Tamandua tetradactyla: one gene and its partner. The protein of the gene in region 1 interacts with the protein of each later gene in a biochemical or structural test. Links are inferred from orthologs where the notes say so. Each region holds a gene or a part of one and is shown on either strand. Other genes may lie near its edges.

Region 1 (7,479 bases):
AGGGTTTTGTGAGATAGTAGCAAAGGGACTGAATGATTTGAAACATAGATAATTGGTCCAAAAATAATTGGAGTTTTAGAAAAGTATAAATGCATTTATTTTGTATAAGCCTGATGGGGTACTTACTCCTTCCCATTTCTTTCCTGGCCTGCTTTTTCTGATGGCTATAAATTATAGTACAATTATTTATTGACTGAATATATAGAGGTATCTTAGTGACATATGATAAATTTTTTTTAGGCTTCAATAACAAAATTTATTAAAGATAAATCAAAATACACTACATAACAAGAGTTCAAGAAAACCAAAGTGCAATTTTAAAAGTTCTTACTTCAACAAACTCAAGGCTTATCAATCACTACCAAAAATTCTATTTCCTTTAAGCTCTAAGAAAAACTTTATCTATATTGAAAGTCTTTGGGTCTTAAGGCCATAGATGAACTCCCACCAAGTTAACAGCAACTTAGATGTTAATATTGTAATACAAACTCCTCCCATTGCCTGGTATACCTGAGACCTGTCAACAACCTTTACCAGGAACCCTTCCACTTAATTTATCTACTAATTATCTAGCAACCTCCTCTCCTAAAAAACAGTATATTTTGACCCTTCAAGTAGTTGCAGGTAAGATTATAGCCTTTTAATTAAAACCTCCAACTGCTTAATTAATACTTATTAAAGTCAGGGCTACAAAAGACCTTTACTATTTTTCTTTTTTATTTCACATGTGTAAAGCATGGCTTCAACCTGGAGGTGGTTTCTTTCTAAACAGAGAACTCATTTTACTAGTTAATTTATTATCTTATTCTCTTAACTTCTATATGATACTTAAAATCTTTTTTAACCAGAATTTACCCTATTATAATTGCAATCTATTTTATGAACACACAACTTTTTAAAATAATTAAACATTTTAGATAATATAAATGCAGCTTTAACACAAAATTCTTTAGAAGCAGGCTTACAGAAGTTGTTGGTTTTTCTGGGGTAGTACATGGGTTTGTTTTAAATATATTAAAAGGTAGAACAATCAATTAACTATACAGTGCTCTTACAAAGTTACAGCAAATATGTTCACTTAATGACTTTTTCCCTCTTTAAGGAATTTTTTTAAAGCAAGAATTTTATAAACCAAACTAAATTACATTTCCTTGCTCAGTTATCTATCAATTCTATTATCTAAAACAGATTCCAAGCTATTCCACAGTAAAGAACTACACCAAGCTAAAGAAAGAAATGCTTTAAATTTTTGTACTATTCTAAAACTTATTTTTTTCTATGGTCTATAAAACATGAATCTGTTTTTATATTTTCTTTTTTGTGTGTGCTTTTTTAAATAAATCAGTAAGTAATATAGGATCAGCACTATGTTTGCTAGACCTGGCATTTACTCACTACAGAAGGTTCAAAGTTTCCTGTCCTTTTAAAATCTATTTTATATTTTGCAAAGGTTTTTTTCAACAATATTTAACTTAAAACTTTTCAACAACATTTAAGTACTTTTCAAGAAAGCACAAGTTACTTTTCGTGGTCCCTGACCAATTTTAATCGGTGGGAACACCAGTGGTACTGTCACCTCCTTTCTGGGGACTCTTTAGCTTGGTAGGCTTGTAGTATAGCTATAGCCTCATCAACCTGAGCACAGTCTCTGGAGACTCAAGCATGTGAAGAAGCTCTGAATTATCAATCTCCAACAACATGCCAGTAATCTCACCAGCAAGGGCAGGACGCATGGCTTCCCTAAGGATAAAGAGCCTTTCACCCAACATCTGCTTTTGCTGTTGAGGAGGAGCAGATGCCAACCTGGAAGCAGTCAGAGGTTCCTGACCTTGAGCATGAATAGCAGGTTGCTGCACAGTAACTCGTGGCGTTGCTTGAAGATGTTCCGGGTTGCGAACTCCCGCCTCATATCGGTAACGTGGAACCGTGCGAATGGCCGGAGGAGGTGCAGCAGCAGCAGCCCCGCCACAGGGTACGGGTACATCGGAGGCACTGCCGCAGTGGCGGCACGTAGGGTTGCGAGGACTCCTGGGATCTGTGGAGGAACTGGTCGCGTGGCGCTAAATGGTGGTGGAGGAATGGCTGGGCACACAGCGCCAGAAGTACTTGGGAATAGATGAGGCCCGGCACCCCAGCAGCCCAGCAAGGATTTGGTCTTATCTGGGCAACTGCATTAGGCGGGTAGTATGCGGCGCGGTTCTGAGGCTGTGGGGTGGGCGCCATGAAGAAACGCGAGGGCGGTGCTGGCAGGGACGGGCCGCGGGGTGGGCGCCATGAAGAAACGCAAGGGCACCATGAAGAAACGCGAGGGCGGTGCTGGCAGGGACGGGCCGCGGGGTGGGCGCCATAAAGAAACGCAAGGGCGCCATGAAGAAACGCGAGGGCGGTGCTGGCGGGGACGGGCCGCGGGGTGGGCGCCATGAAGAAACGCGAGGGCGGTGCTGGCGGGGACGGGCTGCGGGGTGGGCGCCATGAAGAAACGCGAGGGCGCCATGAAGAAACGCGAGGGCGCCATGAAGAAACGCGAGGGCGGTGCTGGCGGGGACGGGGCGCGGGGTGGGCGCCATGAAGAAACGTGAAGGTGGTGCTGGCTGGCAGGGATGGGGCACGGGGTGGGCGCCATGAAGAAACGCCAGGGCGGTGCTGGCGGGGACGGGGCGCGGGGTGGGCGCCATGAAGAAACGTGAAGGTGGTGCTGGCTGGCAGGGATGGGGCACGGGGTGGGCGCCATGAAGAAACGCGAGGGCGGTGCTGGCGGGGACGGGGCGCGGGGTGGGCACCATGAAGAAACGCGAAGGTGGTGCTGGCGGGGACGGGGCGCGGGGTGGGCGCCATGAAGAAACGCGAGGGCGGTGCTGGCTGGGACGGGGCGCGGGGTGAGCGCCATGAAGAAACGCGAGGGCGGTGCTGGCGGGGACGGGGAGCGGGGTGGGCGCCATGAAGAAACGCAAGGGCGCCATGAAGAAACGCCAGGGCGCCATGAAGAAACGCGAGGGCGGTGCTGGCGGGGACGGGGAGCGGGGTGGGCGCCATGAAGAAACGCGAGGGCGCCATGAAAAAACGCGAGGGCAGTGCCGGCAGGGACGGGGCGCGGGGTGGGCGCCATGAAGAAACGCGAGGGCGCCATGAAGAAACGCGAGGGCGGTGCTGGCGGGGACGGGGCGCGGGGTGGGCGCCATGAAGAAACGTGAAGGTGGTGCTGGCTGGCAGGGATGGGGCACGGGGTGGGCGCCATGAAGAAACGCGAGGGCGGTGCTGGCGGGGACGGGGCGCGGGGTGGGCGCCATGAAGAAACGCGAGGGCGGTGCTGGCGGGGACCGAGCGCGGGGTGGGCGCCATGAAGAAACGCCAGGGCGGTGCTGGCGGGGACGGGGCGCGGGGTGGGCGCCATGAAGAAACGTGAAGGTGGTGCTGGCTGGCAGGGATGGGGCACGGGGTGGGCGCCATGAAGAAACGCGAGGGCGGTGCTGGCGGGGACGGGGCGCGGGGTGGGCGCCATGAAGAAACGCGAGGGCGGTGCTGGCTGGGACGGGGCGCGGGGTGAGCGCCATGAAGAAACGCGAGGGCGGTGCTGGCGGGGACGGGGAGCGGGGTGGGCGCCATGAAGAAACTCGAGGGCGGTGCTGGCTGGGACGGGGCGCGGGGTGAGCGCCATGAAGAAACGCGAGGGCGGTGCTGGCTGGGACGGGGCGCGGGGTGAGCGCCATGAAGAAACGCGAGGGCGGTGCTGGCGGGGACGGGGAGCGGGGTGGGCGCCATGAAGAAACGCGAGGGCGCCATGAAAAAACGCGAGGGCAGTGCCGGCAGGGACGGGGCGCGGGGTGGGCGCCATGAAGAAACGCGAGGGCTCCATGAAGAAACGTGAGGGTGGTGCTGGCTGGCGGGGATGGAGCATCGGGTGGGCGCGCCTCTCACGGCTGCCATTCTCTGCGTGTGCTGGTCCGTGAGGAGGGCCTGGCACTCTTCTTCGCACAGAGCTAAAGCTACATACAACGGCTTGGTGGCCACAAGTCCACCATTCATTTCGGAAACCGCTTTAGTGGCCTCTTCTGGGGTGGAGAAACACACAAACCAAACCCTTTGCTGCGACCACAGTCCATCATGGCCTGTGCACTAGTGATCGCACCAAACGGAGAAAACTCTTTCCCGAGACGCTCATCATCAATACGGTCATCAAGACTTTTCACATAAAGGTTAACAACCTGGTATCTGGTGATCCTGTCCTGCTTCATCTGCTCAAATCTACACTTAAGTTCTGTCTGCCATTCTACTTCTTTCTGAGGGCGCCCAACATGAATGTGTCTTCCACTGACCTCCTTTCCATTCATCTCATCCACAGCTCTCTGTGCATCTTCATGCCTCTCAAAGCTCACAAACCCAAAACGTTCGGATTTTCCACTTTCATCAGTCATTACCTTCACACTTACGACACGCCCAAACTTGGCAAAGAGAAGCCTAAGGTGCTCACTATTCACTTCTTCACCAAAATTCTTGGTGTAAACGTTGGTGAACTCTTTCGCCCTAGTTCCAACTTCGGCTTCGCGCTCTTTAACAGACTTAAATCGCCCAACAGACACTTCGCGATCATTCAGAAGCATCCCATTCATTTTCCCAAAAGCTTTCTCTGCGGCTTCCTGTGTCTCAAAACGCACAAAGCCATAGCCCTTGGAGCCATTTCCATCACAAACCACCTTACACGAAAGGATGTTGCCAAAAGCAGAAAACATATCGTACAGCGCTTTGTTATCAATACATCTGTCCAAGTGTTTAATGAATGTGTTACCCACCCCACTTTTACGAAGAGATGGGTCACGCTGAGCCCACAGGAGGCGAACCGGCTTCCCCTTTATAACATCGGAATTCCTGGTCTCCAGCGCACGCGCCGCATCCCCCGACGGCTGGAAGTTCACACGCGTGGCCCGAGGAACGGCGGGTGACCACGTCCCCGCAGACCCGAATGGACAGCATGGGCCCTACCGTACTGAGCTTCTCGTACAGCGTCGCCTCAGTAACGTCGGGGTGCAGCTCCCCCACATACGGCGAAGCCATGGGGTAGTTGGAAGCACTGGGATTCATCTCGACACAAACGGTTCTCGGCACCACAGGCCGCGACAAACGGTTCTCCATGACAGTTTTTCTAAATGGCCTCAGAGAATACTGAGGAAATAGAAGGAAATACGGGGATATATTCCAGGTACTTAATGTACAAAGCAAGGAGCAGCATAGATCCTGAGACAGTCTGGCTTATTAACACCGAAATGGGACCTACAAATACTTTTTGAGTTAGCAAGGAATTTTTTTCTTTAATTTATATAGTTTATGTGGCATGGTGGTATGAAAGAGCGTTGCGTTGAGAAGCAGGGAACTTGGGATTTAGTCCTAGCTTTGGCAATAACTGTGATTTTGCATTTACTTTTTTTTTTTTTTGCGCGTGCAGGCACCGGGAATCGAACCCGGGTCTCCAGCATGGCAGATGAGAACTCTGCCAGTGAGCCACGGTGGCCCACTCTGGATTTACTTTTCTAACCTCTGCACTAACTCAATTCAGTGACAGTTTTAATGTGATTCTGGCCACACCTGGCCACATGGCCACCCCTGGAGCTGAAGGTGAGCTCAGCCCTCTCCTTACTTACCCCATAGACCAGGAGTCAGGGAGAATTCCCTAAAGAAAATTCCATGAGATGGGCTGTTCCAAACAGGGAAATGACTTCTGAGCAGGCAAGTTACTTTAGCTGTAAAACGAGGAGGTTGGTCTAAAAAGTTCTATTCTAAACTGTCTAGATTAGGCTTCACAGGATTGTAAATAAATGCATTATTATCTGAGTTAAAGTCTAGAGAATCTGCCGCCTTCTCCTTGACTTCTAATTTGTGATGTCCATTCCTTGTGGCTGTAGGGCAATTTCAGGAGTTCAGACTGGGAGTTGTAAGGCAGGTTCCTGAGTGGATTTCCTGTTTTTGTGAGTTGTCTGTGTATGCTTCCTGCAGAGGGACTGTTTTATTAATAGCAACAAACGCCCTGAAACAACAGACTTCTTTGACCCTATCACCATTTTTATCTTTGGAAAAGTTATGATGTGTTACTGGGTATGAAGAATAGTTTATTCTTCAAATGGGCAGTGGAGAAACTGAATTTCTTTTTACTCGGGCCCTGGCGAGTCCAGTGCTCCCACAAGTTTAAAGTTTTCACAGCATATCTTATTTGAAAATTACGGGTAGGGTATCTGGAAAAAGTATCAAAGGAATGCACAAACACTTTTTTTTTTTAATTACAGAAATTGTAGGTTTACAGAAAAATCATGCAGAAAATACAGAGTTGCCATATACCACAGCCCCACCCCCACAGTTTTCCCTATTATTAATATTTTGCATTCGTGGGATACATTTGGTATAATTGATGAACCAATATTTTACATTTATATTATTAAGCAAAGTCCATAGTTTACATTAGGGTTCACAATGTGATACATTTGTTACAGTCGGCAAAAGAATATTAATATAATTGTCACTGTATTAATTCACTATGGCTCATGGTTTACATTAGTGTCCATTGTTTATGTTGTATAGTACTATAGCTTTTTTAAAATTTTTATTCTAGTAACATATATACTGCCTAAAATGTCCCCCCTTTAACCACATTTAAATATATATTTCAATGCAGCTAATTACATTCACAATGTTATACTATATAAACAGACCTTGAGTATAACTTTGTCTCAATACCTACTTTCTCTCCAATCTGAACTTCAATGACTATTTTTAATGGAACTGGCCCTGGAATGGTAATCCCAGAAGGTCCTTTAAATTATATAATTACACAGGATAATATATAATAAAAAGCTTCCTGCTCTATAAGTCTAACATCAAATTTGCCTATATATTACCTCAATTAGCAAACTGGCTACTTTATCTCAGAAGATTGTTGGACTGATGAAAATGACATAATGCATGTAAAATACTTGGCACAATGTCTGGCACAGACTAAGTGGTCATAAATATTAGCTATTACTACTATCTGTAAAAAGAATATAATACCTATCACAGAAGGTTATTGTGAGGATCAAAAGGCATGATATTTATAAAGTATTTAACACTATGTTTGGCACATAGGAAGCATTTAGAAATAGTTCCTGCTGCTGCTATCAGAAGAAACTTGTAGATGTTTTCAAGGAATAATAGTATTTCCAAAATCAGTAACTAGCAGTATTTACCATGTTCATGTATGAAAAAAATCTTCTGATTAGAAGATCAGTTTTTTTGCTATCTAAAACCTATTTTGAGTCAGTGTGGTAGTGTTATGGTTAATTAAATATTAAACATTTTATTGTGAAAAGCATATCCAAGACTTGCCATCCAGCAGCTATTCCACCTTGGACAAATTCTTAAAAGCCATCATTTCCTCATCTTTGAAAGGGCTATAATAATATTTATCTTTCATACCTCACATGATTATAATAAAAGACCATATGAGACTGGATTGAT
Region 2 (7,391 bases), on another chromosome or scaffold:
TAAATTATAAATAGAAAAACAATTTAGGCCAATGACAAACTGAATGTCTACAGATAACTCAATTGAAAAGCATCTCCTAAATAATATGTAACATCCCCAAATTAATAATGCTAACATAGCCCCAAAAGATTTCGATACTTTCGCTCAACTATTAAATTAACGAATTGAGAAAAATCTGAAAGTTGTGTAACCTTTTACCTGAGACCAGCAAGCACCTGGATAGCTGTTCTCTCTGTGACTTGGGGCCTGATATTCTCACCCTGAAAGAACACTGTCATTTCTAACCACTGGCATCTAAAAGATCTGCCAACTGCTATCATCACTTACTGACAGCATTCCAAGCCCTAGATGCAAGTATCCTTAAAGTTTTACTTCCTTTTCTCTATTTGCAGCTATGTGTAGCCACAGTTTGGCCTCGAGACCATTATTTAATACTCCAAATATTTCTAGTCCACTGGTGTTACGTTTTACGTCCTTGCAGGAAGGGTACTACAAAACTGTTTAACACAGTGAAGGTATAATTATCTCCCAATGTACCTGAAGGCGTGAAGGCAACTTCCTAAAGTGGCAAAAAATTCCATGGATATTTGTGCTCTGAAATAACCCCACAATAATCTCACTTTCTCTTCCAATTAAGACTGAAAATAAAGTATTCATTTCAGAATTAAACAAGGTAGGGTCTTACAGCTTGACCAAAATAGGAAAAAAAAAAAACCATTATATTATAGAGTTTCTTAATATTTCTAACATTCAGGTAAGGGACTGGACTTACCTGATGGTTGGCATCATCCAGGGTAGGAACACTCCCTATTTAAGTCGATCTCTGGTCAACAATATGGAAATTACTCAGTTTAAAAATTAGCAATAATTTGATTTTAAAAATCAATTTAAGTGAGTTTTCAAAATTTTAAATTAAACTACTTTTTCAATTTATATAGCTCAGAAAAGAAAATTACAATTCTGATTTAATATAAGACTTAATCCAAATACTTAAGGCCATACAATTGCTAAAGTTTTAGTAAACTAAGTTTAGTAGTTTCTTTAAATTTAAATTATGCTAGAGCCATTCACAGAATTTAGTTTTGTTTATTCAGCATATAAATGCAGCAATAATGTACATGATTTGCTTTACTGATGGTATATAAGCTGCTGTTAGTTTCTTCTTCCCCTCTCTTATGCTTTCCATCACAACCTCTTCTTCCTTATTTCAATCTAAAAACAGTATAGGTAAAAATTAAGATAACTGGATATAGGTTTCCCCACTTTATAATCATTAGTATAACATTTATGACACCAAATGCAGCACACTCTCCTTTTATAAAGTCGGGGCAGAGTGGGGATGGAATGTACTTTGGTCAAAATATAGTTTATACTATTTTCAATTGTGAAGGATAATCAGATTAAAAACTTCCTCTCTTCAAATATCTGTAACAAACAAAATAAAATGACCCTAACCTATAAAAATAGGCCTGCAACTTTTGTGTGCTATATTTCTAACCAAAAGGTTTCTGAAGCAGGTAAAACTATGTGTGCAACCAATCATGTATATACAATATCCATATAAATAAATGGTTATTTCAATTTTTAATGCAGCAGAGAAACTAAATTTGCTTTTACTTTCTAATCTTCACATCCAGTTAAATAAGCATGTGTTAGACTCTACTGTAATATGATACTGTTGCATAATAAAAGTTTCCTATTGGCATTTACAAAATCTCCCAATATCTCCACAGTGTTATTGGACACAAATTAAGCTTCTAAATTAGAAAAGTCCACTGATGAAGGATATACCTAGACAACAATGCAGCAATCAAAATACACAATTTTTCCTCTAGCAGAAAAATTTTTTCCTCTATTTTTCTTTCTCTTGGATCTTTTACTAAAAGACTCTCATCTCTTCAATGCCTGTGATTCACACAAAGTAGATGTCGGAAAACAGCTGACTTGATGGACAACCGACTTATTTTCCTGAATCTGATACAAAATAACCATGTGCAGAAGGTCTTAGAGTATACTTAATTTTCAAAGCAAACTGTGTCAGATAAAAGCACACAAAGTATGCTTCTCCAACATCTTATAATATTTATTGTGGCCATATGTTCTCATTGTCCTGTTGTCATTATCCACAACTATTTGTCAGGCACCAAAAATGAAGATATTTCTTTAACAACATAACTACACTAAAAAAGAGAAACACTTCTACTTTTCTTTTTAAAATGCAAGAATATAAGTCCAATTCTTAAGAAACATCATCTGCCAAAACTCTGCTTTTCTTTATTAAGGAAAATAAAATTTGACCAAAAATAGATATTAATCATAATCGATTTTACACATAAGTGAATTACCATTCCTTTAAAGTTGTAGGGCTGCATTTATTTTTGCAGCCAAACTCAGTATCAAAAAGAGAAAGAGCTGCAACCCCACTAATAAATTACATCTTGAAATGGACGTGGTTGTGGTGTCCCTGAGTTACTTCTAATGGTAATTGACACGCCCTGAATTTAACTGTACCAGACAGTTCTATCTGTCCCATCGCTGACCAAACACTGCTTCTCTGTTTCTATTCATTATGTATTATATGAGGTCTAACCACAGTCCAGTATGACAAGTAAAAAAGAAAATTACAATTCCTATGACAGCAAAGTGATGCATACAAGATCTCTGTTGCAGTACACCCCCGTTCACGAGCACTAACTGATATTCTTTGATAGAGCTGAAACATGTTGGCTACATGCAACCTCATCACTCCAGGAACCTTCGGCCCCTCGTTCCTGCAGGTTTTCAGAAAAACCTCCTAAAAACGAGGCACTATCGAAACCTTGTAAACCAAACTTAGAAAAAAGCCTTGTGCAATGATCAATAACCTTGGCTACATCACCATCAGACGCAAATCCACGGACCTGGAGACCAATGCAGCAAAGACCCAGTCGAAAGGCCAGTGGTGCCCAGCAGATCTGCCGCGCTTCCCCCGCGCCGCCCTCTCTGCCGCATGGAACGAGGCAAAAGGAGGAGAGGAACTGAGCGAGCCTCACCAGCTCCGAAGATGCTCCGGTGACCTCTGGCAGCGTGACTAGAGCTGGGCCGGGAAGGCACTAGAGAAGCCGCGGCAGGCCGAGAGGACTCTGCCCCTGGTGCATTCCTTGCATTCCTGCACAATGTGTCGCCAGCCGAGGAGTCCGCGGCCTCATTCCCCTACCCCACCCCCCCCGGACACACACACCTGCCTACTGCTGCGCCCCGCGGCTGCCGCGGCGCCTCCAGCGCCCGCGCTCGCTGTTTGTCGCACTCCGCCAACACGCAGCCAAATCCCGGCCCCGCTGCCCGCCCCCTGGCTCCCCGAGTAGGGGGGAAAGGCAGAGGGCGGGCCGCCAGAGCGGTGGGTAGGGACACCCGATCCACCAGAGGGGTGCCGCAGCTCTGCTCTAACTCTTGGCAAGGAGAGGGGGAAGCGGCGGCGCAGAAGAGCAGCCGGGGAGACTCAGGGCTGAGGAACCAGGAGGGGTGGAGCGTGAGGACGCGCGGCAGGAGAGTGGGGCTTAGTGGACAGAGGGGGTGGTGGGGTGGTGGATAGGAGTGCCGGACAAGGGGCAAACCCGAGGCCGTGCAGGCAGCAGGGGCGTGGGAGGATGTGGAGGGGGCCAGGTTGCGGTATACAGGATAAGAGGGATCAAGAGACGGCCCCTGAGCTGAGGAAGGAAGGCGCCCCGGGGTGCCGGGGGCGCGGGGTGGCGAGCCAGGAGGGCGGGAGCGGGGAAGCTGCCGAATTACAGGTCCGGGAGAGAGCCGGCACCGCGACCAAGTTCGGAGGTAGGGACTCTGGAACCTAAAAGGCCAACGTGGGGAAGGGTCGTGCGCGGTATGCAGGGAGAGCCGGGGAGAGTAATCGCGGAGAAAAGCAAATGGAGGGTGAAACTTGTGCGCTCGCCGGGGGGAGGGGAGTAGGCAGGCGAGTGCGGGCAGGAACACGAGGCGGGGCAGGAAAGCCGAGGCGGCCGGGAGGCGGTGGGGATGGAGTAACGGGAGGGAAGCGCCGTCCCCCTCCGCGCCCTGGGAGGCAGGTCCCGGCTCCGGCTTGAGGGGGCGAGGACCCGGACTCTCGAGGGCAGGAGTCTCCGCGCCCGCCCGCGAGCCCGCACACTTACTTTCCAGGTTAAGCAGCGGCCGTCGTCGCTCCGGGGGTCAGAGACATAAGCGCGGAGTGGTCGCCGCTGCGGCACCCGAAAAAATTACAAAAGTGCAGTGGCCGCGCGGGTGCCCGCCCCTCCCTCCCCCACCCGCCCCCTGCCCCGGAGAGGCTCTCCCACCACCCCCGGCGGCGGCGGTGGCCAACTTGCCCCTCTACCCAGTGCCCATGGTGCCGTCTCCGCGGCCGGCGTCGACACGGACTCAGCCCCGGAGCCCCCTCTACTGCCCAGAGGCCGCCGCCGCCGTCGCCCGCCCAGCCACCAGCCCGCCTGCCCAGCCGGCCCCGGGCTCCCGGGAACGTCAGCACGCTGCCGTCTCCGGACAGGCTCCCCGCCAGCCCTATTGGTCGGGAGAAGAAGACTGGCCCTCCCATTGGCCCGGCCCTCATATTGAACAGGCCAATGGGAGCTGCGGTTTCAGGTTGCCATAGAGACCGATGCTGTTAAGAGCAAGAGGGCCTGGAGAAGGTGGAGTGAGGTGAAGGTGTCTCAGGCAAGGGAAGGGGTGAGGTAAAGTAGTGGAGGGGAATTCCGGGCAAAGGCTCAGAAATCTGGCTAGGTAATGCTTTGCCTCCCTGTCACCCTCTACCGTGCATGGTAGGGTTTGTCCCGGACGTCAAAGGCAGGCACTGGGAACCGCTATACGTATCCTTGAGGCTGAGAGCCCAGAAGCGGGCATTTCACTTCTCTTGGGCCTTGGTAGACCCTGAGGTTATACTCTTTGACCTTTGACTCTTGTGCAGCTTCTGCTTCTCCAGGTGAGTTTGCACCTCATCCCTTAAATTGATGCTTCCTTCTGATATCAGTGATCTACCTGAATTCCACTTATTCCCGACCACGCCCCCTTCCCTGGGGGAGAATCTTGCTTCCAAATTTTGGGTCTTCAAACTTATAGAATATCTAAAGGACACTCAAAAGAGGATTTACTTTGGACACCATTTTGATAAGGAAACAGGGTGGCTCCTGAAATTGTGTGTTGGTGCCAAAGGGTGAGCACACCTTTTCTGGTTTCCCCAAACACAAACCTTTAATTTTCTCACTGAAAGATTGTTAAACACCCAGCTGTGTGTGCATTCTGCATCATGAGCTTGGCAGGTGCATGTTTTTTCCCCTAAGAGGTTACAGGTTGGGAAAAGACAGATGACACAGTCAATTCTTCCTGCCTTCTGACTATTTTACAAAAAGAAAAAAAAATAGATTATGGTTATATGGATTTTGTTTTGTGGATTTTTTCAGTTTATCTCTAAATTTGATTTTTCTTAAATGACCCGAGGCATTGAATCAGAAATTTTGAGACTTCATACCAAGTCCTTTACTTCCTTCATTTAAAGTTACTGTGCTAATTTTTCAATATCATTTTTAAAAATAATGTTCATAATTAGATACCACCTATTAAAATGGGACTTCATGACTTTATTAGGCTTTTTTAAGCAATATATTGCTCCAGCATATAGCTACAGATATTCTTAGGTTCCTTCTTTTGGTGATTTTGCCATTTTTATATTAATCTCTTTAGTAACAAGACTATGCTTATGTTAGTTTCTGTCCTGTTGGAAGGACCACACTCTGTAAAAAACTGACAGGCTTTTGTAAATAAGAAACATTTTATTGAGAGAAAAAGATTAATGTATGTGTAAGTTAGACATCAGTTACATATTTTAACTACTGTCCTGAATTTTGAACCAGGGGATATTATTTGCTACTGTTTCTATCTTACTGTAATTTAAGACTACAAAAATATAATCCAAGATAAAGTGTGTTAATACAGTACCTTGTCTGAGGAAAACAACTCTCCACAATTTGTAGTTGAATCTGAATTTAGCAATTCTGTACAAGGTTGAACCAAGGAATAAATCAGTTGAACATGTGAATGTTCTCCCGCCCTTTTCAAGAATTGGGAAGGGATCAGCAGGGGCCAGGAAGTATTGTCTCATGCCATGCCATCATGGAAATTAACTCATGCTTTTGTTTCTTCTGTCTTTCTCTCTCTCTCTCTCTCTCTCTCTCTCTCTCTCTCTCTCTCTCTCTCTCTCTCTCTGTGTTTAGAGAATAGAAAAAATAAAATGCAGTTTTTTATAAATAAGATACATTTTAATGTACTGACAGAATAGCAATGATTTGGGTTTTAATAACACTAAGTAAATGGAAAATGTGTCTAATACAAAGAGAAAATGGGTATTTATTTTTCTCTTCCCTTAGGCTAACAAGCAGAAAATAGTTGATTAATTTTTTTACTTACATCATCTTTTCTGTTTGTCTTTATCTAAGATCACAGGTTTGTTGAGTATTTTGATACTGTGTACTTCATATTTTAAATGATTAAAATGTTAATAAAATCCACCATGAATAATGTTGCCTGAAATTAAGTTGTCACTCAACATTTTTTTTGTAATTGTTACATTCCATTGAATGGTTTCTTTTCAACTTGCTCCTGTACTACCAAGCATTGCTGGAAAAAGTTACAAAATCATTTAGTTCTTCTAAAGGTTCAGACTGTCTAGTCTTGGCTGGGTCCTCACTGACTCCCCAAATCCCTTCCATAATCAAGTAGGGTGATTTGCTAGCACATGATCTGGAATACTTTTACCAAACCTGTCCTGTTTCTGCTCTTCTCAAGTCCCTTCTGCACTCAGCCTTCTTCCAGTGATCCTTCTCATACTTGACTGAGATTATTCCAGGCATCCACCCTGAAGTTCCTCAACTTCAACTTTCCTAAACCTCAGTCTTAATTTTCACGTTGTCACCTCTGACTGCCTTGAAGGATACAAGGGGATTTCATGAGGCTTCTACTGTTCCACATCCCATGTAATTTTCACACTTGAATACAGCTGAAATTATTCTGAACAGTGTGCTCTTTCTCCTCGAAATCCTAGCTCATTTTGTCAATCAAGTTTTCTTCTACGAAAATGCCTTTTACTTGCAAGTTACAATGCCCAAATTTCAGTCTTCCAGTGAAGAGTGGGAAACCCTTGTCTCCCATCTTGAATATCTATAAAAATGCAAATGACCTTCTTAAAAAGAGGAGGCATTTGTCCTAATAGCCACAACACCTTGGTAGGCCTGGTGGCTGGGAATTAGGAGTGTATAGAGAATCCTCTAAGATCAGGCTGACTGTGGGGTGGGGCTCTAGCAACATTATAAAGACTGAAGAGGTTTGGTGTATACTCTGTCCTCAAGAACAAAAGTAAATAGCAGAAATGTAACTGA

Evidence for each region.
Region 2: the proteins of ERBIN (region 1) and PKP4 form a complex in vitro, tested with the Homo sapiens proteins (4 studies listed by BioGRID and IntAct, with this or other methods). The link is inferred for Tamandua tetradactyla from reciprocal best matches to the Homo sapiens genes ERBIN and PKP4.

What each region holds. Positions count from the first base shown.
Region 1 is NC_135335.1:113,753,727-113,761,205, forward strand, and holds the start of ERBIN (erbin), read left to right. Parts: upstream 1-4,477; 5' UTR 4,478-5,194; intron 5,195-7,479. UniProt on the Homo sapiens protein: Acts as an adapter for the receptor ERBB2, in epithelia. By binding the unphosphorylated 'Tyr-1248' of receptor ERBB2, it may contribute to stabilize this unphosphorylated state.
Region 2 is NC_135329.1:128,877,420-128,884,810, reverse strand, and holds the start of PKP4 (plakophilin-4), read right to left. Parts: upstream 3,021-7,391; 5' UTR 2,992-3,020; coding exon 2,901-2,991; intron 1-2,900. UniProt on the Homo sapiens protein: Plays a role as a regulator of Rho activity during cytokinesis. May play a role in junctional plaques.